Notamacropus eugenii: one gene and its partner. The protein of the gene in region 1 binds, or shares a complex with, the protein of each later gene. Links are inferred from orthologs where the notes say so. Each region holds a gene or a part of one and is shown in the gene's direction. Other genes may lie near its edges.

Region 1 (16,401 bases):
ACTGCCACTCACTATAGTTTAGGCAAATCACATCATTTCTTTTAACCTCAGTTTCTTCATGTGTAAATTGAAGGGGCTGAACTTAAATGATTACTAAGATGCCCTTGTTCCAAATATATGCTCCATTACCACTTGAGATACTTATAGGACACCCAGATGAAAACATCCAACACACGCGTAATATTCCAGGAGAAAGATAAAGGAGAGATATATAATTTGGGGATTCACCTGCATAGAAATAATCATCAAACTCTTGCAAGCAGAGGCAATCACAGGAAAAAAGAAGACTGGAGGATAGCTAAAGAAAAGACTAGAGAAGGCCTGAACCACATATGCCCAACAAAGGATTTCTTGTTGCTGAAAAAAATGTAGAGTTGCCACTACATTCTCCAGTTTGTCATGTGACTGGTGGCAACCAACCACCATCGGTCTATCTTATCTGTAGCCTGAAGAAGTTTAGCCTATTTTAATTTTGATCCCTACCTCCTGCCAAGTTGTGCAGGTCTGGACTAGAGGACTAGCTCTTAAGGGCTGCCCACATTTAGTGGAGAGGAGGATAACGTTCCATCTAAATGATACTGAGGAAAGGTCAGAAAGGCAGGAAAAAAAGAAGGAATATAGTTTGGTGAAGCGCTGTGGGTTGTGATCCCATCTGGAGTTGTGTAACTGAATGAGGGGGTTGCAAAAATTTAGTAATGGTAAAAGGTTTCTGAATGTACAACAACCAAAAATTAATTTCAAATCAAATTCATAATGAATCTGAAGTGTTTCTGGAAATTCTTGGAAGTACTGCACCTCGAAACTTCACCGCAGCCTTGTTTCTGAACACATAACGTGTGCAACTTTGCATTAAGCATGCCATCGCACCACGAAATGCCGACAAATGCTGCCAGGAACACCTCAGCTCAGATTTGAGACTACTGAATGTTATGAATTGCAGTGTTTTTACTGTTTGTAAAAAGCTTTCTGCTCTTACAGAAACACAATACTGAAACTGTAACATATTTATGTTAAAAGATAAAATTGAAAGTTTTACAAAAAAGTTACTATATGGAATACGGTAGAAAATGGTTCTTTAGAAATGTTTACAGCTACAGATGATTTTATAATCGAAAATAACCTTCCCAAAGATTCAATTGTAAGAGTTATAACTGATCATCTGAAGTGCCTGGAGACACAATTTCAGAAAAATTTCCCTTCAAATTTTGATGCAAAAATCTAAAATGAGTTCATAAACCATACTCAATTGAAATAAAAAACATCAGTCATCTGCTGCTAAAAGTGCAGGAAGAATTTGCCAAGTTATCAAGTGACACAGTTAAAACTTGAGTTTCCTAAAATATTGTTAAATGAATTTTGGTTTGGGAGTAGGACAGAATTTCCAACAATTTCTGATATGGCCCTAAACATACTTGTGTCATTTTGTACCACATGTTTATGTGAAGTGGCATTCTTAGTACTGATGATTATAAAATCCAAATATCAGCTTTGAAAAATCCCCTACCTAATTCTCCTTATGCCAATGAAATCATCGATCTGTTCAAAAACAATGATAGGAAACTAAGAGAGAAAAATATCATGGAAGCTGAGGGAGTAGAGACTGTCAAAGGAGAGAAGCAGAGGCTTCAAGAGGCCAAAGACAAAGCTGAGAAAAGGTCAATGGATCTGGCAGGTAAGAAACTGTTGGTCATCTTAAAGAGGATAGAATCAGGAGTTGTAAAGGGACTGACAGCTGAATGGGAGGTATGGAACTGGAGGCAATTAAGTGACCCCTTTCAGGATTTGGGGTGAGAAAGAAGTAGAGATATAGGATGATATGTTGTTCAAGGGCACAACAGAATCAAGCAAAGGTTATTTAAGTATGGGACATGTTTTTAGACATGAAGAAAGAGACCATGCATAGAAAGACAAAAGAAAGATCAGGAGAGATGAAGGGAAAAACTCCAGGAAGAGACTGGAGATAGGATCAAAAGCACAGGAGGAGAGATTAGCTTTAGGAAGGTACCCATCTTTGAGAGAGTGAAGGAAAAACTAAGAGAAGATAAGGAAGGATTGTAAGGGATGGAGAGGGAGAAGAGGAAATCCTCAATGAGTGGCCTCTATTTTCTCGAAAAGTATACCAGGTCCTTTGCTGATTGTGGCTTGTTCTACCCGACACATTGTGCAAATTTAGAGACATATTCACTCCAAATGTTCTTATGGACTATTTATACTGAACCCTTGGCAGAGCCTTCCAAGTTCATACTGGTCTGATCAGCTGGACATCCTGGACCTTGGCCCCATAGTAATGTCATTTTAGGTTTTTTGAGCACCCCAAGAACAACCAACCAACTAACCCAAAAAATACCTTGCTCAGTTGTTCAATGTTTGTCAGTGATCAATATTTTTCACAGTCATATATACAGTCTTATAACTTACACAGGCAATCGACCTTGGCAGAGGGTGAAACTCAGAAAAAGAAAAAAAATCATAAACTATGATTTTTAAGCAGTTAACAATTACATACTATTACAAGCTAGTATACTTATTACACAATAGTAGGGTAAATAAATTAGGAAACACAGTAAAGATGGATTAAATCTGCACAACACTGCTAAGTGTCCCCCCAAATTAATTGGAATTTCCCTCATTAATTTCTGACTTGAGCCAGTAAATGGTTAGAGGCAGTTAGAGAGCTCAGTGAATAGAGCACTGAACCTAGAGTCAAGTGAAGACCTTAGTTCAAATATGGCCTCAGATATTTATTACCTGAGTGACCCTAGACAAGTGACTTAACTTCTGTCTGCCTCAGTTTCTCCACCTGTAGACTGGGGATATTAACAGCACCTACTTTTGTTGTAAGGATAAAATATTTGTAAAGTGCTCTGAAAACCTGAAATGCTATGTAAATGGTAGCCATCATTAATACCATTATTATTAATATACAGTGTTAATGTTTTGTATTAGTAGCGTATCAGAACTTTGATGACTCCTTTAATGCCATGATCATACCTACCTCTAGATTTAAGTATATTTAATAGTAGGCTACTATCTAAAAAGTTTTCTTTAGTTCTTCTTAGATAGCTGTGATATTTACTTTGCGTCGGTTCCAACATATTCTAACCTACCATAGAATTAGAAGTAGTTGAGCCATGATCTTAAAGAGAGCTTATTCCTAGCATGAACTTAATAAATTCTTTTTTGTTGTTGCTTTCTCAATTAGACGAGAAATCAGGAATTGAAACTTCCCCTAGTTATTTTGAAAAGAGACTGAATGCTTTTGATTTAGTGTGGAAGGAAACATTGACCTGCACAGGATTACCAAAGTTTGTGGTTAGCTATACTGTACTTAGAATCTGCAGTCTGAAGTAGAGGTCAGATTAAAAAAAAAAAAAAAGCAAAAAAAAATTTTTGATTATATTTTTGCTTTAAATCAAGAGCGCTTCCAGACCAACTTCCTAACTCTCTGAGAAAATGCTCTACATTATATATATCCCAGACATATCATGTCCTGTGTATGAAAGAAGAAATTCAGTGTCTCTTACCTAGTTATACTATATGGAAAAAGCCAAGTCTTTCTTTAGATCAAGGAATACTCATAATCAAAGTAGATTCAAATGTATGTTCTTTCTCCTGACTACCAAAGGGACTTTTATTCCCATAGGCTTTTACCAAGGTTTTCTTTCACTGTAACAAAACAGTCATCACAAAATGATAAATTTGTATCATCTCCTAAAACAATCATTTATTAAAATTACAATGTGTCTGTTAAAAAAAATTAAATTACCTTAAGCATAGCTTCTATTAGTTTCCCTTTTGTCCAGGTCCCACAGAAAAAGGAAAACACTAGAAGCACATGTCCCCAAAGCTCTTGAACTCTCATCAGGTTCAGACCTGCTAAAAAATGATTCCTTGAGCTGAGGAGTACTACTTCACAATCAAAGACCTTTTTCACCCATGAATGATACACTTTCTTCTCTTGACACATCACATGTAGAATTCTACCACAGACCCTGCAAAGACCCAATACTAAGGCAGAAATTAGAGCCAGATTCCCCAAGGCCTAACATCCAGACCTATGGAACCCAAAAAGAATTGCCTATAAATAGATAAAGAAAAGCAAGGCTGCAGTAAGCACTAACTAAGCTTGAAGTTAATTGCTTCTGAAGCCAAGTAAATAATCCTCCTTTAATAGGAATGATGAGCAAACCCTAAAAATGTAGCACAAGGCAAAGACTGCCAATTATCAGTGGACAACTTTTCCCAGAGAACTGACAACTTCTTTGCACTAATCCTTATTGAGCTTTTATCAGGAACTTAAAATGTTCAGGATTCTTTATTTTTATCTTAGAAGTGGGAGCATGTTTGTCAATGATCAATATGATGAAACACTTTGAAAAAATGTCAGAGAAATGGAATGCCTGGTAAAGAATATGTACAAAGTAGGTATTCGTTCAGGACCTGTTGAAATTACAATTGATAAAAAAGCAGAGCTCCTATGTCTTCCCTCTTTCTCCAGCAGCCACTGCTAAAACTTAAATTAAAAAAGATATCCTGCCTTTCCCCAAATCTTGCTACAGCATAAGTAATCTATCACTTTTCATATTCATACAAAAACTAAATTATTACTCTACACACAAATGCATTCTCTCTCCTGGCTAATTCACACGGCACTTTCCCCCTCTAAGTTGACAAACAAAAAACCAAAAAACTTATGGGGGAGAGGGAATGAGAGCAAGTGTGTGTGTGGGGTGGATGTGTGGGTGTGTGGGTGTGAGTGAGAGAGGGAGAGAGAGAGGGAGGGAGAGAGAATGATGCAGATACACTAAGGTACAAAGCTTTCCACTGAGCTTTCAGAATGAAATCAGCCTTCCTTTGGAGGCTGCCAGGTTACACAATTAAGATTTCAAAAGAGAGGCTGCAGGTGAAGATAAATGATTCTTTAGAAGAGATCAAATGCAACTGTCATCTTGACTCCCTGATAAAAGCAGGGTCTGGAGGATGCACGTCTAGGAGCAAGAGTCAAATTCCAACATCGGAACTAGAGCCCAGGCAGCCTGTTGCCCAGGCTGCTTCTCAGGGTTACTCATCATTTTCTCAAGGACCTTTTGCTGCATCATCCTTGTCCACACAGGTGGTGTGATGTGGTTGTGATGACAGTCTTTGTAATCCCAGAATTACCTCCCTCCTCATGAAGAAAAAAAGCAGCAAAGTGGGTGCAAGGAGGTTTAACTAACCAAGGGCCCGCCCCATTGGTGCTCACTGAAATGAGAGGAGTCGCTGCACAGCAAAAACTAAACAGAGGCTCGGAGCAGCCCCTTGGGAAACGCTTCTCATCCCAGGCAACTGACCTAACTAATTCTGCCTAGAGTCACCAGTTCCTTCGGTTTTCTTGCCTGGTTTTTGCATACACCACACATTTGTCGACCACTGTCACCCCTCTGCTTTCAGTCCTCATCTTCTAATTCTTCTGAGTTACCAATGCACTCCATCCCCTTTCCAACACAACTGCAGGCTTCCTTCTAAACCATTCCCCCTCGCTTCCCCCCACCATGCCTTGTTTGACTCCCTTTTATTCCCTTAATTCTGTCTTCAAAAGATGCTGGTTCCTATTAACCTTCATCACCCCCCACCTCAAAATTTCCTCCGAGGTTTTACTGACCAAACTTCTCCTCCTTATCTGGTGGAGGCGGGGGAGAGGTCCCTGACCGGCCTCGATCTATCCACAAGCCCCCTTTCCTTGAACCCTCTCCTGCTCCTCCCCTAGTCTCACTCCCGGACCTCTCTAAGCTGGCCTCACCTTCGCCACCCTCCCCCGTTCTCCCTTTTCTCTCTTAGCCCTGTCCCATCCCCCTTTAACTCTCCCCGAGTCCTCCCACTTTCCCTCTCTTAACCTTCGCCCTCTACCCAACTCTCCCCTCTTAGTTGGTGGGTCTGGTTCTCCCTCCCCCATCCTTTCATTCCCCCTCTCCCTCGAACCTTCCCCCGCCCATCTCCAGTCAATTCCTTAAGCTCGGGTGGGCTAAACTCCGGGGCCAGGCCCCCAGGCTCCCCAACGGCAGAACCGGGCCCCTGACCGCTCACCGGCCCCCTCCTCGGGTCCTCGCCCTCCTCGGTCTCCGCCTCTCCTCTCTCGGGCTCGGGCTGCGGCTTCGGCACCCCAGGGCCTGGGGTCTCCTCCCGCCTTCCTGCCGAGGCCGGGGGTCCGGGACTACGCCCGGGGTGGGGGAGCGGACTCGCGGGCAGAGAGGGAGGGAAGGGGGCGGGGGGACAGGTAGAGAGGAGGGCTGGGGCAGGAGGGGGCCGCGCCGGGCTGGTCCGCGCACCGAGCAGGGGCAGGGGGCGCCGGGGAAGGGCCTCCCACCCGGAGAGAGAGGCCACGAGCGAACGAGCCCGGGGCGTGGGCTGGGGAAGCCAAGCCGCTCCTAGGCCCAGGTGGAGGCGGGGCCCGCAGGCGTCCCAGCTCGGAGCCCAGGAGGCGGGGTCTCCTGGGGCTCACTGGGGAGGCCCTCTCCCCCAGTGCCCCGGTTATAGCCTCCTGGGAAGGGGACCGTGCTCAGCCTGCCTGCGGAGATGGGGGCCTACAGGAGCCGTACCAAGAATTCTTTAGACCCGGCCAACGTGGGGGGAGCGGGGTGGGGGGTGGGGGGCGGAAAGATGTGTTTTGCACGCAGGTTTTACTTGTTAGAGAAGACTGTGCGGTGGGTGGGTGGGATCACTGTAAAGTGACAGTGACTTTTGTTTTTTGAAAGAGAATCAGTAAAACCTTTTTTTAAAAAAGAAAAAGCACCATCGCCTTTATCACCAAACATCTGTCCTGTCCTTTCTCCTATGGACTGCCATCTCCTTGAGAGCAAACCAGTGTCAGCTGTCAATAACTCAGTGTTCTGTAGGAGGAAACTTGCACCCATTACCTCCGAGTCGTGTGGGAGACAAAGACTGCCCCTCTACCCCAAAAGACACAGTCTGTGTCCTTAAGGAACTTGCATTCTATTAGGCGGTATATATAGCCTTTTTTGCGGGGAGAGGGTGGAGGTGTTGACGGGGCACATAAGCCTTAGAAATCCAGGGGGAGCTGGGGTAGTCGCACAGGACCACAAGAGAAAAAGCAAGCAAGACTCCTTTCTTGCCTAAGCTTCCAGACCTGGCTCTAGCCCCATCTCCTCCAAGCCTCCTTCAAGGACAGCCCAGCCCAGTTCTCAGTGATGGCTGGCTCCCAGTGGCATTTATTGGCTATATAATTGGCTGCACAATCAGTTACGACCTTATGGCATCCTGTGTTGTTTTGAACTAGTATTTAAATATTTTTACTGTTACACTCAACATGAATATTTATATTTTTACACACCATTCAGCAAACACTTATCAAATATCTATTGCTTCAAGGCACTGTCAAAGATGCCTGGAACAAAAAGAGACAAACAACAATCTAAGAAAGGCAGGGGATGTTTTAATTTGCATTAGTTATGAGTTATTGTAATGAAAGTGCTTCGTAAAGCAGTATAATAAACAAACGTCTGTTAATATTGTAGCTGTTATTTCTACCCCTTAGATCCCTAACATGTAAGGTCATTGGAGGTACAGATCAGTCCTTGTTCCATCTTCAGTGATTATGATTAGCACACAGTTGGCACTCAATAAATACTAGTTAATTGAATGATTTCACTTGTAATGATCTAGACTCCTCAACTAAATGTAAGCTTCTTGAGAGTAGGGACCATAACTAGTACTTATAAAACCTTATAGCACCTGACATTACTGTCCTGCACAAGAAACAGTGATTTGATAAGACAGGGTTTTCATACATTGTGGAGGACTGGATAGGGGTAGGAGAAATCAACAAGGCCTGGTTAAAAAACAACACACACAGGAGGCATTCCTAGACAACTAAGTGGTGCAGGGGATAAAGCTCTAGACTGAAATCAGGAGGACTGGAGTTCTATTTTGGCCATTTTCTGGCTGTTTGACCCAGGGCAAGTCACTTAACCTATCTGCCTCAAGTTTCCTCATTTATAAAATGGGGATAATAATGGCAGCTACTTCCCAAGGCTGTTGTGAGGATAAAGTAAAATATATGTAAAGTACTTTGCAAACTTTAAAGAGCTATATCAATGCTAGCTTAATTATCATACATATACTAGAGCAGTGGTGTCAAACTCAAACAGAAACCAGATCATTAAACCAAATATCAGGATCGTTGGAGGCCATATACTGACTTAGGAAACCACATCTCATTGTCTTATTAAATATTTTCCAATTACATTTTCATCTTGTTCCAATGTTTTGGGGAATGTTGGGGGCTGCACACATGCTGCCTGTGTGTGGTGTCAGATACCTCTTCTATAGAGAAGTGTGAATTAAGTGACTTTTAAACGGGGACTTAGATGTGTGGTTTTTTAGAGCTGGAAAGCTGATGATGATACATAATCTAGTCTAACCTGTTCATCTTGGGAAAACTGAGGGCTAGAGTAGGACAGTGGCATGCCCACAGTCACACTGAAAGTTAGTGGCAGAACCCAGATCTGGTGATCTTTCCACTGCACCACCAATCAAACTAGGAATTAGAACAAATGGTACCAATTTGCTGAACCACAAATACTAATTGCCTAACACAAATATTAATTTTACTGATCTCAAACCTAAACTAAAGGTTTTTTTTTAAGCAAATAGCTAGCAAACCAGTTCAAACCAGAACTAAACATTCCTCCTAAAACAAAACAAAAAGATCAAAATATTCTCACCACTCAATCTAAAAAACATTTATTAAATCTAAATTCATAGTAACAAAAGTTGAAATTAAAGTAACACTTGGTGGTTTATAAAATGCTTTTATATCCATTGTCTACAGCCATGGCCTTATTCAATTCTCACAAAATCCCTGTGAGGTAGGTAATAAATACAGTTATCAGTCCCATTTTACAGATGAGGAAACAGAAACATCAGCTTTAAGTGATTTAAGATCACAAAGCAAAAAAGTGGCAGTCAGAATTCAAACCCAGGTCTTCTAATTTGTGCTAACTAAACCAAAGGTGCCAATCTTTCATTCAGTCATAGCTTATGATGCAGGTTATCCACTCAATTCTTCCTAGAAGGGTATAGTTAGTGCACAGGGGCCTAGGTCACAGCCAGAGTATAAGTTCAGAATCTTTGGAGGGGTACTTAGCTAAGCAATGACCAAAACAATGGTTGTGAGACAAGATTTCCAGTCCTTGATGCCTACAAATACAGTTGTATTTAAAGACACCTACGTGGAACTACCTGGTGCCATCTACCTTTCAGGCTTGGTATGATATACTGTAATACGCCCAGGGCAGGTCAAGCTTTACCCTTCCAAAGGAAAAAACCAATCCATTTCCCAGACACCAGCCAACACTGGCAGTTCAAAGGTATGACAAAAAACCAATCAGCATTGGTGTATACATTATAAGCAACTGAAAAGCATATCTAGGGAGGGTAAATGAGGACTGTGACTCCATTAAAATTGGGATAACTTGCTAGTGGAAGATCTGAACTACTAAAAGAAATGACCTCTCCTATGGTTAAAAAAAAGGAAACAATTACTATATACTAACATAAAGCCTTAGACTTCTGGAAACACATTTTTAAAAGGTGAACTTAATCGTCACAGAACCTGTGTAAGAGAGGAAGTTTTATTCTCTTTCATTTACCTACAACAAAGCAAATTATAGAATCAATAAGGAACTTAGCTAATGTCACTTGCAAGTAAATATTAAAATCAAGTACAGAATCTTCTCCCTCCAGAATCCAGTGATCATTAGGCTACCACAGTAATGTCAACTAAAAATATAGGAGGCTCCCTTCTGGACTGGCTAGGGATGACAGAGGCCTGGGGCCTGATGCGGCCGTTAGTGGTGTTTAGTTTTCAAAAAATAACAAGAGGAGGGAAAGTTGTAAACGTTTTCCTTTAAAAAATTCACCTTAGGGCTGTGACAATGTTTCTTAAGTCCCCAAATACAATCTACTTTTAAAAGTATTATTTTAGGCTAACTCATTCATTTTTTAAAAGGCCAACTTTCTACAGTCTGAATTAGATAATTAGTGAAATTCAGAAGAGACACTGGTACACCTGGTGTACCTGCCGAACTCCTGTCTCGCTGGAAGGCACCTTCGAGGGGCTGAGCTGGAATGCTGGCACAACTTCGACCACCGCTCAAGCTTTGGGCTTTGGGAGGGGAGAGGAGAGGAGGATGAAAGGGGAAGGGAGGAAAAAGAAAGCGGGGGAGGGGGAAGAGAGGAGAGTGCAATGAGAGAGGAGGAAAGGGGAGTGCCATGAGAGGGGAGAGGAATTAAGGGGAGGGAGGCGGGGGGAGCGTCCCCCGCAGAAGATCGCCGCCTCCCTCCCCGCCCCCGCGGCTCGGAAGGATAACGGCCGGCCCTCGCCCCGCGCGCCCACACTCACCTCGGCGGGCTGGGCTCCCGAGTGGCCGCCGGCACGGCTGCCCGCTCCCCATCCCCGCGGCTCGGGCGGCGGCGGCGGCACGGGGGAGGGGCGGGGCCGGCCGGGGCGGGGCGGGCTCCGAGCACGCGGCCCTATGGGCAGCGCCCCGCGCGGGCCCTTGGAGCCGGAGGCGGGCCCGCCGCCGCCGCGGCCGCACGCAGCGCTGACCGCACTGGCCTGCGCCGGAAGCAGCCCTGAGCAGCTGCGCAGCTCCGGGGCCAAGGCGCCCCATCGGGGGCACCCCGCGGCAGTCCCTGGTGGAAACCCGGGCTCGGGGCACCATGCGGGCCGGCAAGGCCTTCCGCAAGCGCCGCGTCGACTCGGAGTCGGAGTCAGACGAGCAAGACAGTGAGGAGGTCCGGTGAGTGGGGAGCGGGGCAGGGGGCGGCTGGACTGCTGTGCGGAGAAGCCCCGACCCAATGACATCCCTCCGGGATCGGCCGAGCCCCTGGTGTGGGAGGACGAGGTCCGAACGGGAGGGCAGCCGGCCTTGACCCTAACCCCGAGCCTGCGGGATTGATCTCGTACTGCCCGGCTTTTATCTTCTCCGCCCCCCGGGGGGAGCGAGCACCCCCAAAACGATGCGAGAGCTGCGGGGGTTCCCCGCGACCAAGATGCTGCCCTCCTGCCCCCGTAGCAGAATGGGAGCTCTCGGAGGACAGGCACTGGTTTTGCCTTTGTTGGAATGCTGTTGTCTTAACTGGCAACTGTTGAATGTATATTTCGTGTGTTCTCTTCCAATGACAATTCATTCGTTCCTTCAGAGTGTTACTTGTGTCACATCTGACGTTTATGTAACACATAATGTCTTGTGATTCCCGTAACTACCCTGTGAGCTGGGCAGTAGAAACCTTCTTCTTCTTACCTGCGTTGACTTATATGTGTGTTATGCTCTGCCTCATACTAGACAGAAGATTTACAAAACTTCTCTCTTCCGAGAGAAAACAGGACTGTATTAAATCTAGGAAAGAAGGGAGGGGAATGGGGAGAATGAAAGAGAATAGGTAGGAGATATGCTGAAACCTAATTTGTCACTCTAAAAAAAAAATTAATTCTTGACCTTTTTTAAACTCCCCCAATCCTCTCCTATGAACACATGTACACGCATTGGATGGTCAAAAACTGCTACACTCAGGGACTGTTGTCCCCCAGCAGATGAGGAAATCTGTCAGACTTTCTGAACCTGTCCAGTAGTTGGAAATACAGTGTCCCTTTTGGGGACAGAGCCTCAGCGCCAGTGGATGGAACTCTCAATAACCAGACCCCGTTTTATTTTGATGTTTGGACTGCTTAATTATTTCTCTGTGTTATATTCAGGTTGAAGCTTGAGGAAACCAAAGAAGTTCAGAGCTTGAGGAGACGGCCTAATGGGGTGAGGTAGGTTTAGCCACCTTGGATTGGGGACCACAGTCAGAAGAGAAGAAAAAAGTATGTCCTGGATCCCCTTTGTGTAATACTGTGACAAATGCATAACTACTTGAAATAGCCCATATTCTATGTTAAACTGTATACCAGGGCATTCCATCGCCTACCTGACTTCCCTTGCTTTTTCCAGATGCTTGTCAATAGTTCAAAATGAGGAGTATGCAGAGTAAAAAATAGAGATGTTTAGTGTTTATTTTGCTTCATTTTTCTCTGCTAAGGAGAATGACCTTTGCACTTAAAATAACAGGATAGAAAAAATTTAAAGAGTTACCTTTGATGAATTCAAGTCACCATGACCGCATAGTTTATATCCTTGGGAACTGAAGGAACTGGCAGAAGTCTTGAGGCACTGTCAGTGATATTTGGAAAGATCATGCAGAATGGAAGCAGTACACAGAGGACTGGATTTGGAATCACAAGACCTGGGTTCAAGTGCTGGCTCTCCCTACATTTTTGACCTGAGGTGGGGGGAGGTGGAGAGAGAGATAGAGTTCTGGACTAAATCTAGTTCTAAATCTAGCTAGCTCTAAGAACGAAGAACATATCTGTAAAGTTGAGAGTTGGCATCCGTTTTAGTCTGGTTGGGTTTTTTTTAAAGATGTGATCTTTCATGACATGCCTTTTTGGCCCCCATTATTCATATGAGTTTTACTTGTCAGCCTGAATAATGAATTTCTGAACTGATTGCTTTACCTTTTCCTATCTTTGAGTTGTACCCACCATTTTTTCTATTCAGTGCCGTAGCCCTCCTGGTTGGAGAGAAAGTACAAGAAGAGACAACTCTAGTGGTGAGTTTTGTGGACATCTCTGGTGAATGCTGTAATATTTGGCTAGGAAGGATGACCCTGAAAGGTTACCAAGTTAAAAGTGATTTAGTTCAGTAAAATAGTGTGATATAGTTCAGTAAAGCACAGTTGTATGATGAGCAGAACTGAAATAGGTTGTCCTTCAGAAAGGTTATCTATCCTACATCAGCCAGCATTTATTGATACCTCACCTATTCAGGATCCTGAGTGTTAGGGTCTAGCACCCAATACTGTTCCTAATACATAGTAAGTGCTTAATAACTGTTTGATAATTGAACTCTGGGTGATAAAAACATGAATGACAAATTATCTTTTTCCCCCACCTAATTTATAAACCATATTTGCTTTTTCATTATCATCATTATCTTTCTTATTTGGTAGGATGATCCATTTAAGATCAAGACTGGTGGAATGGTGGACATGAAGAAACTTAAGGAGAGAAACAAGGACAGGTTGGTAGAAAACATTTTTAGAAACCATTGAGAACATTTTCTCTCCCTGTTACTACACTCAATTTTGATTGTCCACAGTAGTAGGAAAACTCACTTGCATCCTCAGAGAGACTGGGGAAAACAGAAGCTGTGAAAGAATAACTATTTTATGTGTTGTTTTTTTTTAATGAATTTAGTACATTGTTTTCCAAGGAAATATTAAAGATACCATAACTCTGTCTCCATTTAGGATTAATGAAGAGGAGGACCTCAACTTAGGAACATCATTTTCAGCAGAAACCAACCGAAGGGATGAAGATGCTGACATGTAAGTTTTTATTTTTTTTACAGTATGAGCAGATAAGGTTTTTATTGTGGGTTCTAAATCCTCTTTCCTAGCTGAACCAAGAGAAATGTTTGCAGCTTCTAGAAGGCTTCAGAATTATTTTCCTTTCTCTGTCTCCTACCCTTTCTTGCTCAAAGACCAAATCTTAAACCTAATTCATTAACTCATAGATTGGACAACAGGTCCCCGCCCACCTGGCACAGAGGGAATGTAAATACTAAATAGTAACTGTTTCTCTTTTCCCCAGGAACCTTGAAAGTCTTCTCCCAGATTGGTTTTTTTTTAAATTTTTATTAAAATGGGCCACCCTTGAGTAACTACTTAGAGAGGTCTATTCGTTGAATGGGTGTATCTCACTCAAAGTGAGAATCTGATAAGACCTTAGCCTGAAATGTCCAGGGTCCCACATTGCATCCTGGATCATCTCCACTCATCCTGATGAATATCAGGCCACTGGACCCAGATGGCTCTGGAGGAGAAAGTGAGGCTGGTGACCTTGTACCGCCCTCCCTTACTCCGATCAAAGTCAACTGCAAGACATGTCATCATCTTGATGTCATGATCCTCTTCCAGAATGAAGGACAAACACAACAACCCTTTCCCATCTACTTTGCAGTTCCTGAAGTTCCCCTAATGCACTTTCCTCTTCTGCTGGACTAGCAGAAGGGCTGTGGCTTAGAGTAGGACAGAGCTAGTATGTTAACCTGCTGTCCCTTGGTATATTCTAGGATGAAATATATTGAAACTGAGCTGAAGAAGAGGAAAGGAATTGTGGAAAATGAGGAGCAGAAGGTGAAGTTGAAGAATGCTGAAGACTGTCTCTATGAGCTCCCAGAGAGCATCCGAGTTTCCTCAGCTAAGAAAACAGAAGAAATGCTATCCAATCAGATGCTGAGCGGCATCCCTGAGGTGGACTTAGGCATTGAGTAAGTTTCGTCCTCTTACTTTATTCAATCAATAGAAATTCAGTAGAAATAATTCATTTATTAGAAATAATCATAACTGGCATATATAGTTCCTTAAGATTTTGAAAACATTTTATTTATATATATATGTATATATATATTTCATTTGATCTTTACAACAACCCAGGAGGTAGGTACTATTTTTATTTTCATTTTACAGATAAAGGAACTGAAGTAGACAGAAGTTAAATGACTTGCCTAGTGTCATACAGCTAATAGGTATCTGAGACAGGATTTGAACTCAGGTGTCCTTGACTCCAAGTCTAGTACTTTATACAGGGCAGTGGATAGAGCACCAGTGCAGGAGTTAGGAGAACCTGAGTTCAAGTCTCACCTCAGACACTTGACACTCACTAGCTGTGTGACCTTGGGCAAGTTACTTAACCCCAATTGCCTCATCCTGGGTCACCTCCAGTCATCCTAAGGAATATCTGGTCACTGGATTCAGATGGCTCTGGAGGAGAAGTGAGGTTGGTGACCTGCACAGCCCTCCCTCACTCAAAACAAAGTCAAGTGCAAGTCATGTCATTATTTCTCTGATGGCATGGTCTTCTTTGGCAACAAAGGATAAACACACACACTTTATACACTACCACCTGGCTGACTAGTTTACATGAGGTAGAACTTAAGGGGAATGTTGCTGAAACTTTTGTGCTAAAATCAAAAGTAAACTTAATGTCCCATGTTCTGCCCATGCTACTTCAAGAATAGCAAATATAACTGGGGAGGGCTGACAAGGACTCTGGACCAATTGGCTGAACAGATTTGGAGAGCTGGTCAGCACATATGGAAATACTTCTCTTAACCCAGTCTTTGAAGTTATTTTCTTTCTCCCTATCTCTCCCTCCCATGAGAAGTAGTGGTGGTAAAGTAGATAGAGAGTTACCTTTGAAATTGATTGTCCTCCCCCTGGTCCATACTGACTGTGCTACTGTGGGCAAATCACTGAACCTCTCAGTGCCCCACATAATTGAAAAGGCAGAAGTAGCAGTGCAGGTGCCAGTCTGCATTGATAGAGGAAGTTTCCTGGGAAGTGTGTGTTCCTTTGAAATCACAAGGGTAACACAAAACACAGACACAGACACACACTTTCATCTAAAATAATCTTAAGGAAGAAGTGGAAAGGTAATTTTCCTTCTCTCCAGGAGGTGGGCTGCTGTTGTGGTTGTTCACAGGTGCCACTCAGATGGCCCAGCAGGTGGAAAGGCTTGAGGGAGGGCCCTTGTGATTGAAAGTGAAAGTGCTTTTAAGCACTGCACTTATTCCATCTGTCCTGAACACACCCCAGAGGAATGGTGTTCCAGATTTTAGCAAGGCCTCTTAATTCTCCTCTCAGTAGTGAACTTGGCAATAATTAGTTCAGTTCCTCCCTTAATCACCTGTCTTCATTTTGGCTTAAAACAACTGTTTTTAAAAGGGAGGAAATATTGCAAATCAATATAGTATAGATAGTAACAAGTCAGTGCAGTAACCAGAAATGATCTCTGTGAGTGTGTCATTCCCTTTTAAGGCTCCTTTGCATGTGGAGTTGGCCAAGATCTCAGTAAAGAACTCTCTTCTTCTCCCACCTGCTTCTTTCCAATCCACGTTCCTCTGTGTACTTGGGGAGGGGGGAGGGAAGATGGCAGTCTTATAAGACTCTTACCTCTGAATTCCCCATATTTTAAGGTTAAGAGGTTTTCCTTCTCTTCCCCCTTAGTGCAAAAATAAAAAATATCATTTCAACAGAAGATGCCAAGGCACGCCTGCTGGCTGAACAACAGAATAAAAAGAAAGACAGTGAAACCTCTTTTGTTCCAACCAACATGGCTGTGAACTATGTGCAGCACAACCGATGTGAGTGTGTTTCATGCACCCCAGCTCCCTCACCTTCGTCCCTCTTTCAGGGCACCCGAGTGGCCAGGTCTCATGTTCTCTGCCCTTTCTGTTACTTCTGTTCCACTCTAGTGACCAGGAAAATCCTTAAGTCCTTAACTTCTGAGTGTTGCAC
Region 2 (15,910 bases), on another chromosome or scaffold:
ATCCCCAGAGAGTATCTATACTATATCACTCTGTTGCTATGTCTGTACTTGGAGCCTTTTCAGGTTTGGAGGCCCTGCCACAGTTTGTGATCCCCCAGGACGGCCTTTGAGATCACTACCATGCCTCAGTGAGCCATTGGAGGATGACTCTAAAAGAGGCCTCCTTGCAGCACTAAAATCCTACGGTTCTCAGTCTGTACTAGCATTCCAGGGGATTTGGTTTGTCTGTCCAGAGTAATGCCAGATGGATGCCTCATGAGCTGTTCATCAGTCTCCTCCATCGCTTCCAAAGATGTGGAGACCCCTAGAGAGTTTGAACAAAGCCAGGAACCCCTCTTCTCAGGCAAATCAGAATTGTATGTTCCAGTTGGAACCTACCTGCCCATTGGGAGGATATTGAAAGTAGGAGTCTGCTAGGTCCTCAAATGATCTCAGTCTAAGTGTAGGACGAAAGGGTAGAGAGAAGAGTGTCTCATGGCCCACTGGTATCCTGGGCTCTCAAGCAAAAAAAAAAAATATGTCTAATGCAAAATGGATTCTAGAAGGAAGAACTGCTTCTCTTCCTCCTCCTCCTCCTTTCATGGATGTTTCAACTGCTCAGAGGCTTGTTGAGGATAGTATTTGTACTTAGGATCTTCATGGTTCCTTCCTCAAGATGAAAAGGCCCTTGGCCACAATGTAAGGAATGAAATTAGGATTCAGTTCCAGCTCCTACAGAATGTACCTTACCCTGAGGCCTTGGAGATAGAAGAGGAGAAAACTATCTAGGAGATAGTCTGTGCCTCCCAAAGTTTCAATAAATACTTTTCTGTTCAGTCTCTTCAACTCCACGAAGCATGGCGCCTTTGAAATCTCCAGGACCATCTATATGAGCTAGGGAATGATAGCTCTCCCATTGGCACTTTAAGGTTTGTAAGGCAATTTACACCCATGAAGTAGGTGCCAGGTCATCAACATTTTAGAAATGAAACAGACTTAAAGAGATGAAGGGATTTGCCCAAGGGATTTTACAATTAATAAGTATCTGAGGCAGGGCTGGAAGCCAGGTCTTCCTGACTCCAAATCCAAGGTGTTATCCATTCTGCCATGATAACCTCACTAGAAAGATACTAAATGAGAGATTCCTTCTTTGGTGGACTTTAATCCTAATCTAGACTTTGCCTTCAGATGGCTTGATCAACTTGTTTGGTGGGAGAAAGAATTGTTATACTTTTCCCCAAAGTGAAATTTGACTAGAAATAACACCCTTATGTGGAATCTTAAGCTCTACAGAGTGATTTAGTACTTTCATCTCCATTTCATAGATTAAGCATTGGAGGCTTAGAAAAGTGAAGGGATTTACCATGATCCTGGCAGATGTGTGTAAGATAGGGTCTGATTGCAGATTCCCTGGTTCTTGTATTCCCATACTGCCCTTCAAGTACTGTAATCCATTGGTGTCAGATAGTCAAGTGAGTTTTCAGATTCCAAATGTGCCTCCAATGTCTTCTGATTTCTCTTCCAGGAATTCATTTCCAAGTTTTAGATCGGTTCTCCTTTTCCATCTGTCCCATCATGGATATATCAGAATGCAAAGGCAACTCCCCAGGCTCTACAGATCACAATGTTGAGGACTTAGATAGCTGCATCCCAGTCTGCAAGCCTGTCCTGACATCACTGATGATGCGAGTACTCAAACAAAGAGATTTTTTTTTGCATTATAAGAGGGCTAGGTAGTGCAGGTTGTCCCCCTATACCAAAAGGGTTGTGTTCACATCCACTGTGCTGGAAACAGAGGGAACATGGCTAGAACAGAAAGGATTATAGGGGTAAGAAAAACATTTGAGGCTTCTTGGGCTATGGGACTACCAGATTTTGGGGGAAAGTACACCTGGGTATATTGATTGCTAAGAAATGGAAAGGCCAGAGAAGCTTCATCTAGGGTAATGATTGAGAGTGGCCAATAGAGCTTAGAGGTCATCTTGTTTAACCCTGTCTTTTTCTAGATAAGGAAACAGGCCTAGAAAGATTCATTCATTTGCTCATGGTCACACAGGGAGTAAGGAATAGAGCTGGCTTTTCTCTACCTCTAAATGTAGAGCTCTTTCCACTCTACTGTTGACCAAAAGTTACCACTACTTAAGTATGGATCAAAAGGGCAGAAAGCTTTAATGGTTCCAATCCCTGGAAGTTAGTGAGTGAACCTTGGTCTCCTTTGTTGCTTAAAGCATTTTAAAGACATAATTATTTCTCAGAGATCACTCTGAAAATAAGGTGTGTAAATTATTCCCATTTTCCTGAAGTCATGAGTCACAAAATTGCCAGGAGAGAAAGAACAGAGGGTGGGATTCAGCCTGCCAGTCTAGAACCTATTTTATAGACTTTCACAAGGTTGAGGTGATAGATGAAAGGCAGTATTCTAGCCCATTACTGTCTGCATGGCGTAATGCTCTTTGAGCTAGCCAAAAACACATTTCTGTTTCTGGACAGGAAATTTGCCTAGGAAGAGGTGATCCTACAAATGTACTGAGCTAACCTGTTTCCCAAGAGTCCAGAATTTCTTAAACTCAAACTATATTTCCTATGTTACACCTTGAGCTTCTCACCAGGTGTTAGGCCCAGTTAGTTTGAGATACCAAATCTCACTGAAATACACAAAGAGGACTAGCTCTTTGCTGAGGTCTAAGTGTTGTGTGCTAGCTGAGGTATTTCTGGGAGAATACAGGATCTGTTGGGGTAGCAGTGGTTCCCAGTACTCTTGAGTTCTTCATGTGTTGGCTGGATGGCCACTTGTATGGGGCTGCTGCAGAGGGGGATCATTGGGATACAATTTGAATTTGCAGACCTCTGAGGTTCTTTCCATCTCTGTGATTTACAGGAGTACATCTCATAGTAAAGGCTCCTGAACCTTGATTTGTATTGGAGTGTGTTGTTCTTTTGCTGAGGTCACTTTAGCTCCACCTAGAGGCAACTAGGTAGCTCTGTAGATTGAGAGCTGGGCTTGGTATCAGGAAGACCAGAGTTCAAATTCTGGCCTCCGGCACTTAGTATGTGTGAACCTAGGCAAGTACCTTAACCTCTTTCTCAGTTTCCTCAACTGTAAAATGGGGATGATGATAGTAATAGTACCTGCATCCCAAAGTTATTGTGGGGATCAAATGAGAGAATATTTGTAAATCACTTAAAACTACCTGACACAGATAGGCACTTAATAAATGTTTGCTTCCTTCCCTTTTTTTGGATCCAAGAATTTGTTTTCTTTGAGGAAAAGAATGAGGAGACTTCACTCCCCATCCAATAAAAAGAAAGGAAGGGCTGGACATAGCATAAGAGTACAGATAACCAGCAGAACTGATGCCTGGCTGATGGTGGATTGTGTTTGGCCAAGATGACTTGATACTTTTGCCAAGGGAGAAAAGTCCACCTCTTTTGCAGCTAATTTCAACTTTGTATTATAAGCTGCTGTGTAAGTTTTATCAGGTTCTCACAAATAGCATTTACTCATTAGAAGCCCTGGATTTCCATTTTGGTTCTCAGTGTAAGGCTTTTCCTTAATTTCTCATTTCTCTCTGTGTATAGCTGCTGCCTTTCTCCAAAACTGATCAGGGCTTTAGAGAAGGTGTCTATTAAATCCCAGTACTTTCTAGCATGGCATAGCTTTAGGAAAGTAGGACAGACAGAGCATGTATGTGTCTCTGAATCATCAGTATTGGAAAAAAAAGAGTAGACTTCCAGCCCCTTTTCCTCCATGCCTTCATTGATCTGCCTCAGGAAAGGCTTTTATCTGTTTTCCATTTCAGGCATACCACTGAAGCATCAGTGGTTCTGGGATCTTACTGACATGTGGACTCATCAGAGAAGATAGATCCTAGGAATCCTTGCTTTCGCATCCTATGTACATCTTATCTATGTCATTCCATAACTCCTATTTAGTTTAAGTACTGGAAGCCTTTCTCTGGACCTTTTAAATATTTCCTGGACATCGCTCTACAATTTGGATCTCCTATTTGTCATCACTTGTTTTTTATGTGATCAATCTATTTCTTTTCCTGGATAATATATGGCCTTGATATAATCATCCATCACAAGTCATGGCTGATAATATGTTACAACCTCCTTAAACCTCTAGCAAGTCCCTTTCTTCAGTTGGTTTAAACTGCAGAATACTACAATACAATTGGAAGTTCATTGCAGAAATATCAGTGAGAGCTGAGGTCTCTTGAATGAAGGTTTATGTGAAAGTTCTGTAAGCCCTGGGTGAAAGGAGAAATTTCTAGTCATTTTTGAATGAGGTAAAAATCAGTCATGGGACTGTTCTACATGTTTTTCAGTTACAATTCAGCTACAAAACAGGATTCCTGTTTTGAGTTTGTGGAAAGGCACTGAATGAAGGTGCTGAGTATATGAATCATAGGTTCTAGAGCAAGAGGGGAACCTTGGGACACCATAATCCCTTTTAATTTTAGATCACAGGGTATTGGTTCTGGGAAGGCCCTTAGAATACAGAATGTCAGAGGTAGATGGGAACTTAGAACATGGAATGTCAGAGCTGGGAGCAACTGTGAAATACAGAATGTCAACAACTGAGCTAGACTATAGAACACAGAATGCCAGACTTGGAAAGAGGCTTAATACATAGAATGCTAGAACACTGAATATATAATGTTAGAGCTGGGAGGTACTAAGATACCTATGTACACTATCAAAGTTTTGTTGTTGTTCAGGCATGTCTACTCTTTATGACCCTATTTGAGGTTTTCTTGGCAAAGATACTGGAGTAGTTTGCCATTTCCTTCTCCAGCTCATTTTACAGATAGGAAATTGAAGCAATCAGGGTTAGTGACTTACTCAGGGTCACCCAGCCAGTAAGTGCCTGAGCCCATATTTGAACTCAAATCTTATTGACTTCAGACCCAGTGCTGTATCCACTGTACCACCTTGCTGCCCTAATATCAAAGCTGAAGGGGCCTCAAAACAGAAAGTGACAAAGCTGGAAGCAGTTTTAATAACAGAATGCTAGAGTACAGAAATCGTGTGTAGGACAACACACATAGAATGTTAGATCTTAAAAGAGCCTCAGAGCTGGAAGGGGCTTTAGAACACAGAATGTCAGAACTCGACGGTACCTTAGAATGTAAAATGTAAAAGTTTAAAAGAGTCATAGAACACAGAATGTCAGACTTAGGAGGAACCTTACAATACAATGTCATCTGGAAGCAGCTGTAGAGTATAATGTGTCAATGCTGTGAAGGACTTTAGAACATGGAATATTACAAGTAGAAGGAAAGAGGGAAACAAGTATTTATTTAAGGATCTACTGTGTGCCAGGTACTGTGTTAAATGCTTTACAAATATTATCGCATTTGATCCTCACAATAACCCTACAAGGTAGGTGCTGTTATTATGCCCATTTTATGGTTGAGGGAATTGAGGCTGCCTGAAGTGAAGTGACTTACCCAGAGTCACACAGTTTGTAAGTGTCTGAGGCCAGGTTTGAACTCAGGTCTTCCTGAGTCCAAACCCACTACTCTATCTATTGCAGAATGTTACAGTGCTCGGGGGATGAGATCTGAACCCCTAAAAGGAAAAGCCCCTGAACTTTCCCACAAATTTCAGGAACCTGGTCCCTGGTGTTTGTCTGAGGCCTCTGACCCACCCCAGCCCACCTTGATTACTTAATTAGTTTACTTGATATTCCTTAATGCCAGCCTGATGTCTTTCTTTTTCGTGGCCTCATTAAAGGAGCCATGCCCTGGCTACCTCTTAAACAGTCCTATTCAATGAATGGGTGTTGCCTCACCCTAAGTGAGTACTTGCAAAGACCTTGGCCTCAAGGTCTCCCATTGCATCCTGGGTCATCTCCAGTCATCCTGATGAATATCTGGTCACTGGATTCAGATGGCTCTGGAGGAGAGGTGAGGCTGGTGACCTGCACAGCCCTCCCTCACTCAAAACAAAGTCAAGTGCAAATCATGTCATTATTTCTCTGATGGTGTGGTCTTCTTCCCCAACGAAGGATGAATGCAATCCCATCCAGACCCCTTTCCCAGTTAAGGCCCAATCACCCCAGCCTACTTTCCATTCCTTGATTCCATCTAGACTTTCTCACTGTCTTTTTGTATATAAAAGTACCAATCTTACTCCTATTAAACTGTGCAGATTCTTAGAACCTCACCGGTCTAACAGGTGTTATAATAAAACCTCACTACTCTGACTGAAAGGGCCTTGAGTGGTTGAATTCTTTCGAGGCAGATCCCCCCTGGACCCTTGAATTTTGGGATTCCCAGCACCCCTAGATTGCATCAAAAGCTGGAGGGACCTTAGAACGTGGAATGAACGTCAGGGCTAGGAAGGACCTTGGCACACAGAGAGGCCTTAGAACTGGGAATGTTGGAGCTGGAAAGGTCCTTGGAATATTAAAATATCAGGGCCTGGAGGGGCCTTAGAGTACAAAAATACTGCCATCAGGAGGGCCCTTAGAACCCAGGATGTCAGAACCAGGAGGGCCCTTAGAACCCAGAGTGGCAGAACCAGGAGGGCCCTTGGAACCCAGGATGTCAGAACCAGGAGGGCCCTTGGAACCCAGGATGTCAGAACCAGGAGGGCCCTTGGAACCCAGGATGTCAGAACCAGGAGGGCCCTTGGAACCCAGGATGTCAGAACCAGGAGGGCCCTTGGAACCCAGGATGTCAGAACCAGGAGGGCCCTTGGAACCCAGGATGTCAGAACCAGGAGGGCCCTTGGAACCCAGGATGTCAGAACCAGGAGGGCCCTTGGAACCCAGGATGTCAGAACCAGGAGGGCCCTTGGAACCCAGGATGTCAGAACCAGGAGGGCCCTTGGAACCCAGGATGTCAGAACCAGGAGGGCCCTTGGAACCCAGGATGGCAGAACCAGGAGGGCCCTTGGAACCCAGAGTGGCAGAACCAGGAGGGCCCTTGGAACCCAGAGTGGCAGACTGGGAGGGGCCTTGGAGAGGGGCTCCAAGGGCTGGAGTTCTCTACTGGCCCAAACGCCAGGGCCAAGGCTCAAGCCACCAAACCCACGTGCAGAAGCGAGGGGCGGGGCAGAATGGCGCATGCGCTCTCGGAGACCTCGCTATTTGGTCTTCGAGATGGGGGGGTCTATTTCGGACGGAGCGGGTGGAGGGGGCGCATGGACTGCTGGGATCTCTCTCCTCGCCTCCCCTCCCCAGTTGAGTCCTCCCACTTCCCGGCATGCTTTGGGTTCTCCAAATGGGAGGGGGAGACGCAAGATGGCGGCAGCCGCGAACTCAGGCTCGAGTCTCCCGCTGTTCGACTGCCCGACTTGGTGAGCGCCGGGGTCCGGGCCTGGCCTGGCCGGGCCGGTGGGGCGGGGGTGTCTCCGGGGCGCGGCGGTCAGGCCTCAGGGCCTGGGGCGGGCGGGCGGACGAGGGACGGGGAGAGGAGGCGGCCTCCATCCTCCATCCTTGCTTCCGTCTCGCCTCCTCTCCCCTCACCGGGCGGCCTGGGGCCCCCGGGGTCGGGCTGGAGGCCGCTGGGGGAGGGGGAGGGCCTCTCCTCCCTCCCCCGCCTCCTCCGCCCCACCTAGGTCCCGGAGGGGCCGGGACGCCGGGGCCAGCCCTGCTTCTAGAGGGAGGCCGGCAGGCGGGCGGGCTGGGGGCAGAGAACCCGCACACGTCCTCCCTTCCTGCCCGAGGGCCGCTGCTCGGGGGGCCGGGAAGCCCGGAAGGGGGTCTGGGTCTGAGGCCTTCAGGGCCCTCCCCCCAAGCCGGGGCCCCAAAGACCCCCAGAGGCGGCGCCTCCAGCCCTCCCCCTTTGACAGGGGAAGGAAGCCAGGCGGCCGACTCCCCGGGGGTCCTGCGGCGTGGGCTTGTAGAATTTGGGGAAACCTCCGAGGTGTTTAACCGGGAGGAAGATGGGGAGCCGGGGCTGCAGAGCCAGACCCGGGGACTCCTCTTGAGCGGGGCGCAGACTTGGCACCGCCGCTCATGCCGTGCTCTGGCCGCGGGCACCCCTTCTCTCATGCTGTGCTAAGCAGGAGGTGGTCCAGGTCGTGAGATGGCCGTGCGTGTTACTCCTGCTAGTTGGGACAGACATCGGGGGGTCGGACAGACAGACACGGAGAGGGTTGCCCTGAGGGCTAGCCCTAATGCCCCCAGGCTTTCATAGGAAATGAAATGATACGGTAGAAAATGGGCGATCTCCTCCCCGGTTCTTGTTCGAAAGTTCATCCCTGGGCCCCTCCTGGACGGGGTCTCATTGGAGGCTGAGATGACCATCATAGCTGTGGTGGATGTGGGGAAAGTACGACCTGACAGGGGCAGCCGCAGATGCTTCCAGGACCCCTTTGTGCCTTTGTCCTCAGAGGATGCCAAGGCAGGGAGGAAGGGGTTCCTAGGCCAAGGTCACCTCGGACTCCCAACTGGGCAGCACACCTTTTCCTTTCGGAACTCAAGGTCCAAGTCCGGTCCCTACTTGTACTGTGAGCCACCAACTTTGTGCTTTCCTGACATGTTATTTCACACCTGCAGCCCCAGATTCCTCTTAGCTTATTCTGCCTTTTCAGATTCTAATTGGCAGACCTTAGCATCAAGCCCAGATTCCCTGATCCGCTGCGCCGGAAGCTTCTATCTTTGTAGGCCTGCCCTGCAAGGTAGACATATGGTTTAAAAATATAGGTTTCTTTCCTGCTGTTCTAAATATTGCTTAACTGAGGTCTGTTTTGGAGCAGTTGAATCATTGGAGAAGTACAGCATCGAAAGTGGAAAGAAGCTGTAATAACAGCGAAGGAGATGGCATTTCTACTTGAATGTGAACTAATTATAGGCTGTTTGGAGAGCTGTGACACTCAATGGGAACAGAAACTGTAAATAGCAATTCATTGTACTCATCCTGAAGGTGTTTTTCTCTTTATTTTCTAGGGCAGGTAAACCCCCACCTGGTTTACATCTGGATGTAGTTAAAGGAGACAAGTTAATTGAGGTATGAAAATACATATCATGCATTTTTTCCAACATGGGAAAACATGAGTCATTTCCCACCCTCATTCTTGTGCTTTGTTTTCCAGTAATGCTATTTTCAATTTCCAATTTTTTCCATTAAAAGCACTTAATGGTATAATACATTGAACCACACTATCTCTTTGCAGACACTGAGTTGTATGTTAGCTTCTCCATCTTCCCGGTGAGGAGTTTTTAATAGGTCATGGATCTTTGAACTGTAAGGAAAGGACGTGGGCAAAGGACCTATAAGAAGTTTCTGTCACTCTTTCTGGGAAATAGCATGGGATGTGTGGAATGCACTGAGAATTAATTAGCTGAATAAATCACATGAATACAGAGCTTGAGAAAGAGGCGTCTGTAAGAATTGTCCCTGAGTTTTGCTCAGAGGATTGGACAGAGCTAATAAGGAGCCTTTTAAAAGAGGAATGGGGAGGATGACTTTATCTGAAAGAGCCCATAATTGGAGGCTGAAGCTCCCTAACCATAATCTGGATAGAACTTTTTAAAAGAGCTTTCAAGGTTAGAATTGTTCCTGGGTTGTGACATATTTGTCACTAAGAGTTGGTGAAGTAGTGTAAGGAGATGGGCCAAAGAGCCTCTGTGACTGAGATCAGTTTCAGCACTTAGGATTTTTAGTCCAAGCAATATTATTGAATTATGATTTCTCTTTGATGCACATTGTTCATTGTGCTGCCCCACCATCTGCTTGCACTATCCACTCCTACTGTGAAGGACCCTCTTGACACAGTTTGTTGTTATCGGTCCCTGTTGGAATATGCTGAATTAGAGTGTGAATTGAAATGAGGAGCTGGCTCCGTTCTGTGCACATACAGTGTAATCTCAGGTCAGTCACTTGTAGTTGTTATGTCATAGGTCTGCTTCTGAAAGTAGAACTTTTAAGACCCCCCACATTGAGATTATTACAAGAAGTACTTCAGAAGATCTGTGAATCTGTGGTTTCAGCAGCGCACCAGTGCAGATCATAGCCCTTCCACGCTTTAGTAGACAACCCATTCATAAAGTACAGTGTCCAAAACTCCCCAAAATTATCACCTGGGAGTCATCTACTTCTTGCCGAATTTTCCAGACTTAGCTAGGCTAGGCTCTAGTGACAGATAGATGAATCCATCACTGTTCTCTACCCAAAGGTTTTCAGGCTTGGTATAATTTGCCAGACCTTGCATTTCAGTGGCATGGCCTTCCAAGAGCCCAGGGCATCTCTGAGACATGGTAAGAAACACCTGGGAAGTTTAGTGGAAGATTAACATGAAATACTGCATTACAATGTATATGAAGTGTTTTATAATAGAGCATTCCAGAAATGCCTAATAGTCTTTGCTAAAGGATCCTTAGGGAAGAAATTTGGTTACTATTGCAATGACCTTCTGGTTGATCTCCCTGCCTCAAGGCTCTCCCACCTCTAATCCATCCCCCCCCTCAGATCTTGAGTAGATTTTCTAAAACTCAGGTCTAACCATGTCACCCCTTAGTTAATAATCTCCATTAACCCCTCTTCCCCCCCCCCCCCCCCACTCCTCCAGATTAAATAGAATATTCTCTGTTTGGTGTTCAAAGCCCTTCATAACCTGCAGCCACCCTCACCACACATATGCATGCACGCACCCCCATGTACCCTGCAATCCCATGACACTGGCTTTTCTTATTGTTCCTCAGGTAATCTGCCCTGACTATCCCCCTGCCTGGGCTTCTTCTCTTCCTCATCTCCCCTTCCTGACTTCCCTGCCTAAAATCCTACCTTCTACAAGAAGCCTTTCCTAATCCCTCGTAGTTGTGCCTTCCCTCTTATTTATTATCTCTCTTTGTTTATTGTTTATTCATATTCTCCATTTATTATCTGTTATCTTCAGCTGATCCTGTCTGAATCTTGTTTGTAGATAGTTGTTTGCATGTTGTCTCCCCCATTAGACAGTGACCTCCCTGAGGGCAAGGACAGGATTTTTGTCCTTTTTTTTAAATCTCATCACAGTGCCTGGCACATAATAGGCTTTTAATAAATTCTTGACTAGAATTCAACTGATATCTCTATTATCAGTATGGGGGGAAGAAGACAATTAGGCATAATTTGTAAGATTGGCTGTTAGTTCCTAGAATGAAATCTCTTTAAATGCTCCCTTAAACGACTGGGTGAAACATATCTGGCAAATTATGATCGAAAGAGTGTCTTTTGGTCATTTTTATTAGCAGCAGACCAGGACCGGTCTTATCTCTATGGAATTATCAAGCACTTGATACTAACCAAGCTATCTGTATCCTGAGCTGCTCTAGAAGGTTGGGATGTGTCTTGTGATAGCTGGGTTTTATAAGTGCAATATTATAGTAAACCATGAGTCTTTTAAGCCCAGCATGTTGAGGTGAGCACTCTGGGTTATAACTCAAAGGTACAGTCCTGATGATAGCCCGACTGGAATAATGGCTGGAGTGAGAAGCAGAAGACCAGCCTGCTTGAAATGTATTCAGACTGAGATAGTTCCTATAGTCAGAAGTAGTTGTAACATTGTGAAGCAGGGACATTGAGAACAGTGGAGCGATTTCTGTCAGACTTACTGTAAGCCTCACTTTATTTGATGCTAATCTCAGGACCTGTAAAGAGTCAGCTTGCTATCATAAGTCACGATCTATATTTATAAAATATGAGTGGAGAATGCTATGAGAAATTCAACCTATATAGGCGTTATTTGTTTTATATATATATATATATATATATATATATACATATATATATATTTTTACAATTTGTGGCCTACCTCAGAATTTCAGCGAATTCAAAAGAACAGACTTATATTAAAGCACTTTACTTTGTCCAAGTTGGTGAGGATACATAAGATGATGGGACACATGGATACAGATAACTCTGATACAAGGCAGAGGGAGATAAATGCAAAGAAGAAGTTCAGACAAAATACTGTGAGCAATTTGAGAAGGAAAGTCACTTTCACCTGAGGCATGAGCTCTAGAGGGCTCTGGGAAGAGCTTCACGCTGGACATTGGGTGGGATCACAACAGAGATGGAAAGAAGCTGTGTTAGGCACGGGGCACAGAGACAGTGCAGGAGAGCGTGCAAGACAGAGACCAGTCTGACTGGATTGAGAATATGTGAAGAAGACTAGAACGAGATGAGGCCAGAAAGGGTTGGAATCAGAATGTAGGGGGCATCTGGAGTTTATATTTTAGGGAGTCGCACCGAGGGCATCCTTGAAGGTTTTTGAGTGAGGAAGATTGGGAAGATTACTTGGGAATCCAGTGTGAAGATTGGATAGAGAAGGGATAGGATAAAGGTAGGACGGGTAGTTAAAAGTCTGTTGTTATAACCTACATACGAAGAGAATAAGAATGGAACTCAGGTATTTGTGGGGGTGGGGGGGAAGGAGGGAGGATTCAGAATCAGACTGAGGACAGTTAAGTGGCATTATGGATAGAATACTGGGCCCAGAGTCAGGAAGACCTGAGTTCAAATCCCACCTCAGACTCTTACTATATGTGTGACCCTGGGCAAATCCCAAAACCGCTCTGCCTCAGTTTCCTGATCTGTAAAATGAGGATACTAATAGCACCTGTGAGGGTCAAATGAGATAATATTTAAAGCACTGAGTGCTGTGCCAGTACCTGGCACATAGGAGGCATTTAATAAATGACTTGATCATTTCCTTTGTTCATGCTGTAGAAGTGCTCGACGGCTGCTAGAATGTGTGGGGTAAGGGGGGGGGAAAGTTAAGATTGATGTCATTGGGGTCCTGGGAGAGTAGTGATATCATTAACCAGGATGGAGGAGGTGAGGGAGGGAGAATGAGTTCATTCCTAGACATTTCTGAATTTAAGCTTCCATTGGTACATCCAGATGATAACATCTAGCCAGAAGTTGAAATTTCAGCCCAGGAGCCCTAGGGAGAGAGTGAGGTGGAAGATGGGAATTTGGGAGTCATTTGCATAGTTGATAATTGAAGCCATGGGAGTCGATAAGATCCCCAAGGAGAAGAGAAGCAAAGAGCAGAAGTGTGGGAGGTCTCATGCTCAGATCCTTGCTTGGTTACTTCATGAACTGTGTGACCTTGGGCGAGTCATTGCAACTCTCTGAGACTCCGTTTACTCAACTGTAAAATGAGAGCATGACAGTTTTAGATGCACAATACATGAGCCAGAAGAGGAGAGAGGTATCAAGAAGGAGGGCACATGCTACAGAGAACTCAGTAACTGAGTGACTCAGACCTGGGGTCTGCCAGGCTGAAACTGGAAACCATCCTGTGAGTGACGGCTGTTGAACATTGTGCGTGTTGAGAGTAGAACCACATATCCAGGTTAATGTGAACTTAATTTAAGCTGAGCCCAAAGTTTGAATAATAAAATTACCATGCCCATGACAGGTGTCAGACATGCAGTAACAAACTGAAATGTGCTTGGGAAATATTTAATGAAATAAAATAGAATCAAATATTAATAAGTGATTTTCTAAGTCACTGTGCTGCTGCAGGGATCTTCTGTGCATTTTAGCAGCTCTCTCTTTTTGAGTTTGATGCTCTTACCTCGCTGCACTGGGCCTGTCCCTACTGCACTGCACTGTCTGCTACTGATAGAGCTTATTGAAAACATAAATAAATTAATGAAAATGTTATGACCTCAGTGTGGTCGATTGTGTCTTCAGTCATTTATCTCTCTTTTGTAATAGAAAAACTGAGGCAGCCAGGGAAGCAGTAGTCTTCTCTGGATCCAGTAACTGAGAATTTCCTGGTTCCCAATTATGCCATTCCCTGGGCTGCCTTTCCTTATTACCCTACTTTATCTAGGAAAAAATTGTTTAAAAAAATGAAGTTGAGTTTAAAAGGAACTTGGTTTTGTTTTTATTTTTTTATTTTTTTTTATTTTTTATTTTTTAATGTTTAACAATCACTCCCATACAATTGCGATTTTATCCCCCCCACCTACCCCCCACTACCCCCCTCCCTCCCCACGACTGCATACAGTTCTGTATAGATTCTACATATACTTTCCTATTGAGTATATTTTCACTATAGTCATGCTATGTAGTCAGACTAAGATGAATGAAAGAAATCGTATAACAAATCAGAACATGATACACAAACACATACACATACACAGACATGATCTGCTACATTATGTGAGTGACTTCCCTATTTCTCTCTCTGAGTGTGGCAGGCATTTTGCCTTGAGAACCACCATTGGGATTTTTTTTTTTTTTGTAAGAAGTTCTTGTGTTATTACAAAATTCTAAGTCTACCAGAAAAAACTCTCACACACTGTGGTCGTTGCTGTGCATAAAGTTCTCCTGGTTCTGCTCCTTTCACTCAGCATCAGGTCATATAAGTCCCTCCAGGCCTCTCTGAAGTCTTCTTGTTCATCATTTCTTATGGCACAATAGTACTCCATTACATTCATATACCACAATTTATTCAGCCATTCCCCAATTGATGGACATCCCCTTGACTTCCAGTTTTTGGCAACTACATAGAGTGCTGCTATAAATATTTTTGTACATGTGGGACCCTTTCCCATTTTTATGATCTCTTGGGGATATAGTCCTAGTAGCGATATTGCTGGGTCAAAGGGTATGCACATTTTTGTAGCCCTTTGGGCATAGTTCCAAATTGCTCTCCAGAATGGTTGGATGCGCTCGCAGCTCCACCAACAATGAATTAGTGTTCCAACTCTCCCACATCCTCTCCAGTATTTATCATTTTCTTGTTCTGTCATGTTTGCCAATCTTATAGGTGTGATGTGGTACCTCAGAGTTGTTTTGATTTGCATCTCTCTAACCAATAGTGATTTAGAGCATTTTTTCATATGCTTATAGATAGCTTTAATTTCTTCCTCTGAAAATTGCCTGTTCATATCCTTTGACCATTTATCAATTGGGGAGGAACTTGGTTTGAAAAAGAAACCCAGCCCTGTCCTGCAGGTATGAGGCTTGTCCTCCAGAGTACCTTGGGAGAGGCCACATGCTGCCTCCTTTCCTTTTCTCTGGAGTTGCTTTTACTTTTGGCAGCTGTCTTCAGAACCTGTGGTGTGTTCTTTTGTGCATCCTCAGGGTTGACAAAAATTTGTCCTTTGAAGGTGAATATTGTCAAAAGTAATATGGAGCTTCATCCAGTGAATAAGATGTCTGGTCACTCTGGAGGCTGGTGATTTTGGTCAAAGTCAAAGCATGATCCTGTAGGACTGAGCCTGTGCTGGGATGCGTAAATAGAATTTGTTCCCTGACTGCTGAGCAAGTGGCCTGGTGTGGAAGAAGTGTGTGACTTCCCAGGGTGACTATTGTGCTGAATAGCACTGGTTTGGATAGGCAAATCAGAATGAATGTGTTCAGGTCAGTCTCATTGCTTTGGTCATGCCTTGTACTTTTCCTTTTCAGTTTCAACTTGAAATTAGGCAGTATGAAATATTTAATTTTCAAATAGCATTGTTTTGTGGTGGTGGTGTAGAGAGAGAAGGTAATGAGGGGACTGGGGCTCTTGCCCACAACAGTCACAATTCAGCAGCGAGCATTTATTCAAAGCTGCTGTGCACCAGGACCTGCTGATACAAAGATAAAACTAAGTTGTCCCCAGGCTTAACAGGGAAACAACATGTATTTAGATCAGTGTATACAAAATAAAGACAGGAGTTTGGAGAGGGAAAGCATTAGCTGTTTGGGAAGTTGCCTTATAGAGTGGCATGGATCTAGAAAAAGACCACCAGAATGGGAGAAGCCTGGAGATAATGGCATTATTGAAGGATTGGTGGAAGAAGCTGTGGAAAATAGGAGGCCTACATAGAAGAGCCATGATTCCTCTTTTCAGACATTTGAAGGGCCATCACTTGGAATAGGGATGACTTTTTTTGCTTGACTCCAAAATATAGAGGTAGGCTCAATAAGTTTAGAAGTTCTAGAGATGCAAATTTCCATTCATTATAGGGGAAAACTTTGTAGTAATT

Evidence for each region.
Region 2: C1H9orf78 (region 1) and PPP1R8 share a complex: the UniProt entries of both Homo sapiens proteins name them as parts of the spliceosome. The link is inferred for Notamacropus eugenii from reciprocal best matches to the Homo sapiens genes C9orf78 and PPP1R8.

What each region holds. Positions count from the first base shown.
Region 1 is NC_092872.1:481,403,088-481,419,488, reverse strand, and holds the start of C1H9orf78 (splicing factor C9orf78 homolog), read left to right. Parts: upstream 1-10,511; 5' UTR 10,512-10,719; coding exon 10,720-10,799; intron 10,800-11,755; coding exon 11,756-11,815; intron 11,816-12,599; coding exon 12,600-12,651; intron 12,652-13,050; coding exon 13,051-13,121; intron 13,122-13,350; coding exon 13,351-13,428; intron 13,429-14,174; coding exon 14,175-14,372; intron 14,373-16,110; coding exon 16,111-16,247; intron 16,248-16,401. UniProt on the Homo sapiens protein: Plays a role in pre-mRNA splicing by promoting usage of the upstream 3'-splice site at alternative NAGNAG splice sites; these are sites featuring alternative acceptor motifs separated by only a few nucleotides. May also modulate exon inclusion events.
Region 2 is NC_092876.1:68,906,468-68,922,377, forward strand, and holds the start of PPP1R8 (nuclear inhibitor of protein phosphatase 1), read left to right. Parts: upstream 1-7,049; 5' UTR 7,050-7,057; coding exon 7,058-7,290; intron 7,291-8,884; coding exon 8,885-8,945; intron 8,946-11,205; exon of another isoform or gene 11,206-11,372; intron 11,373-15,910. UniProt on the Homo sapiens protein: Inhibitor subunit of the major nuclear protein phosphatase-1 (PP-1). It has RNA-binding activity but does not cleave RNA and may target PP-1 to RNA-associated substrates. May also be involved in pre-mRNA splicing.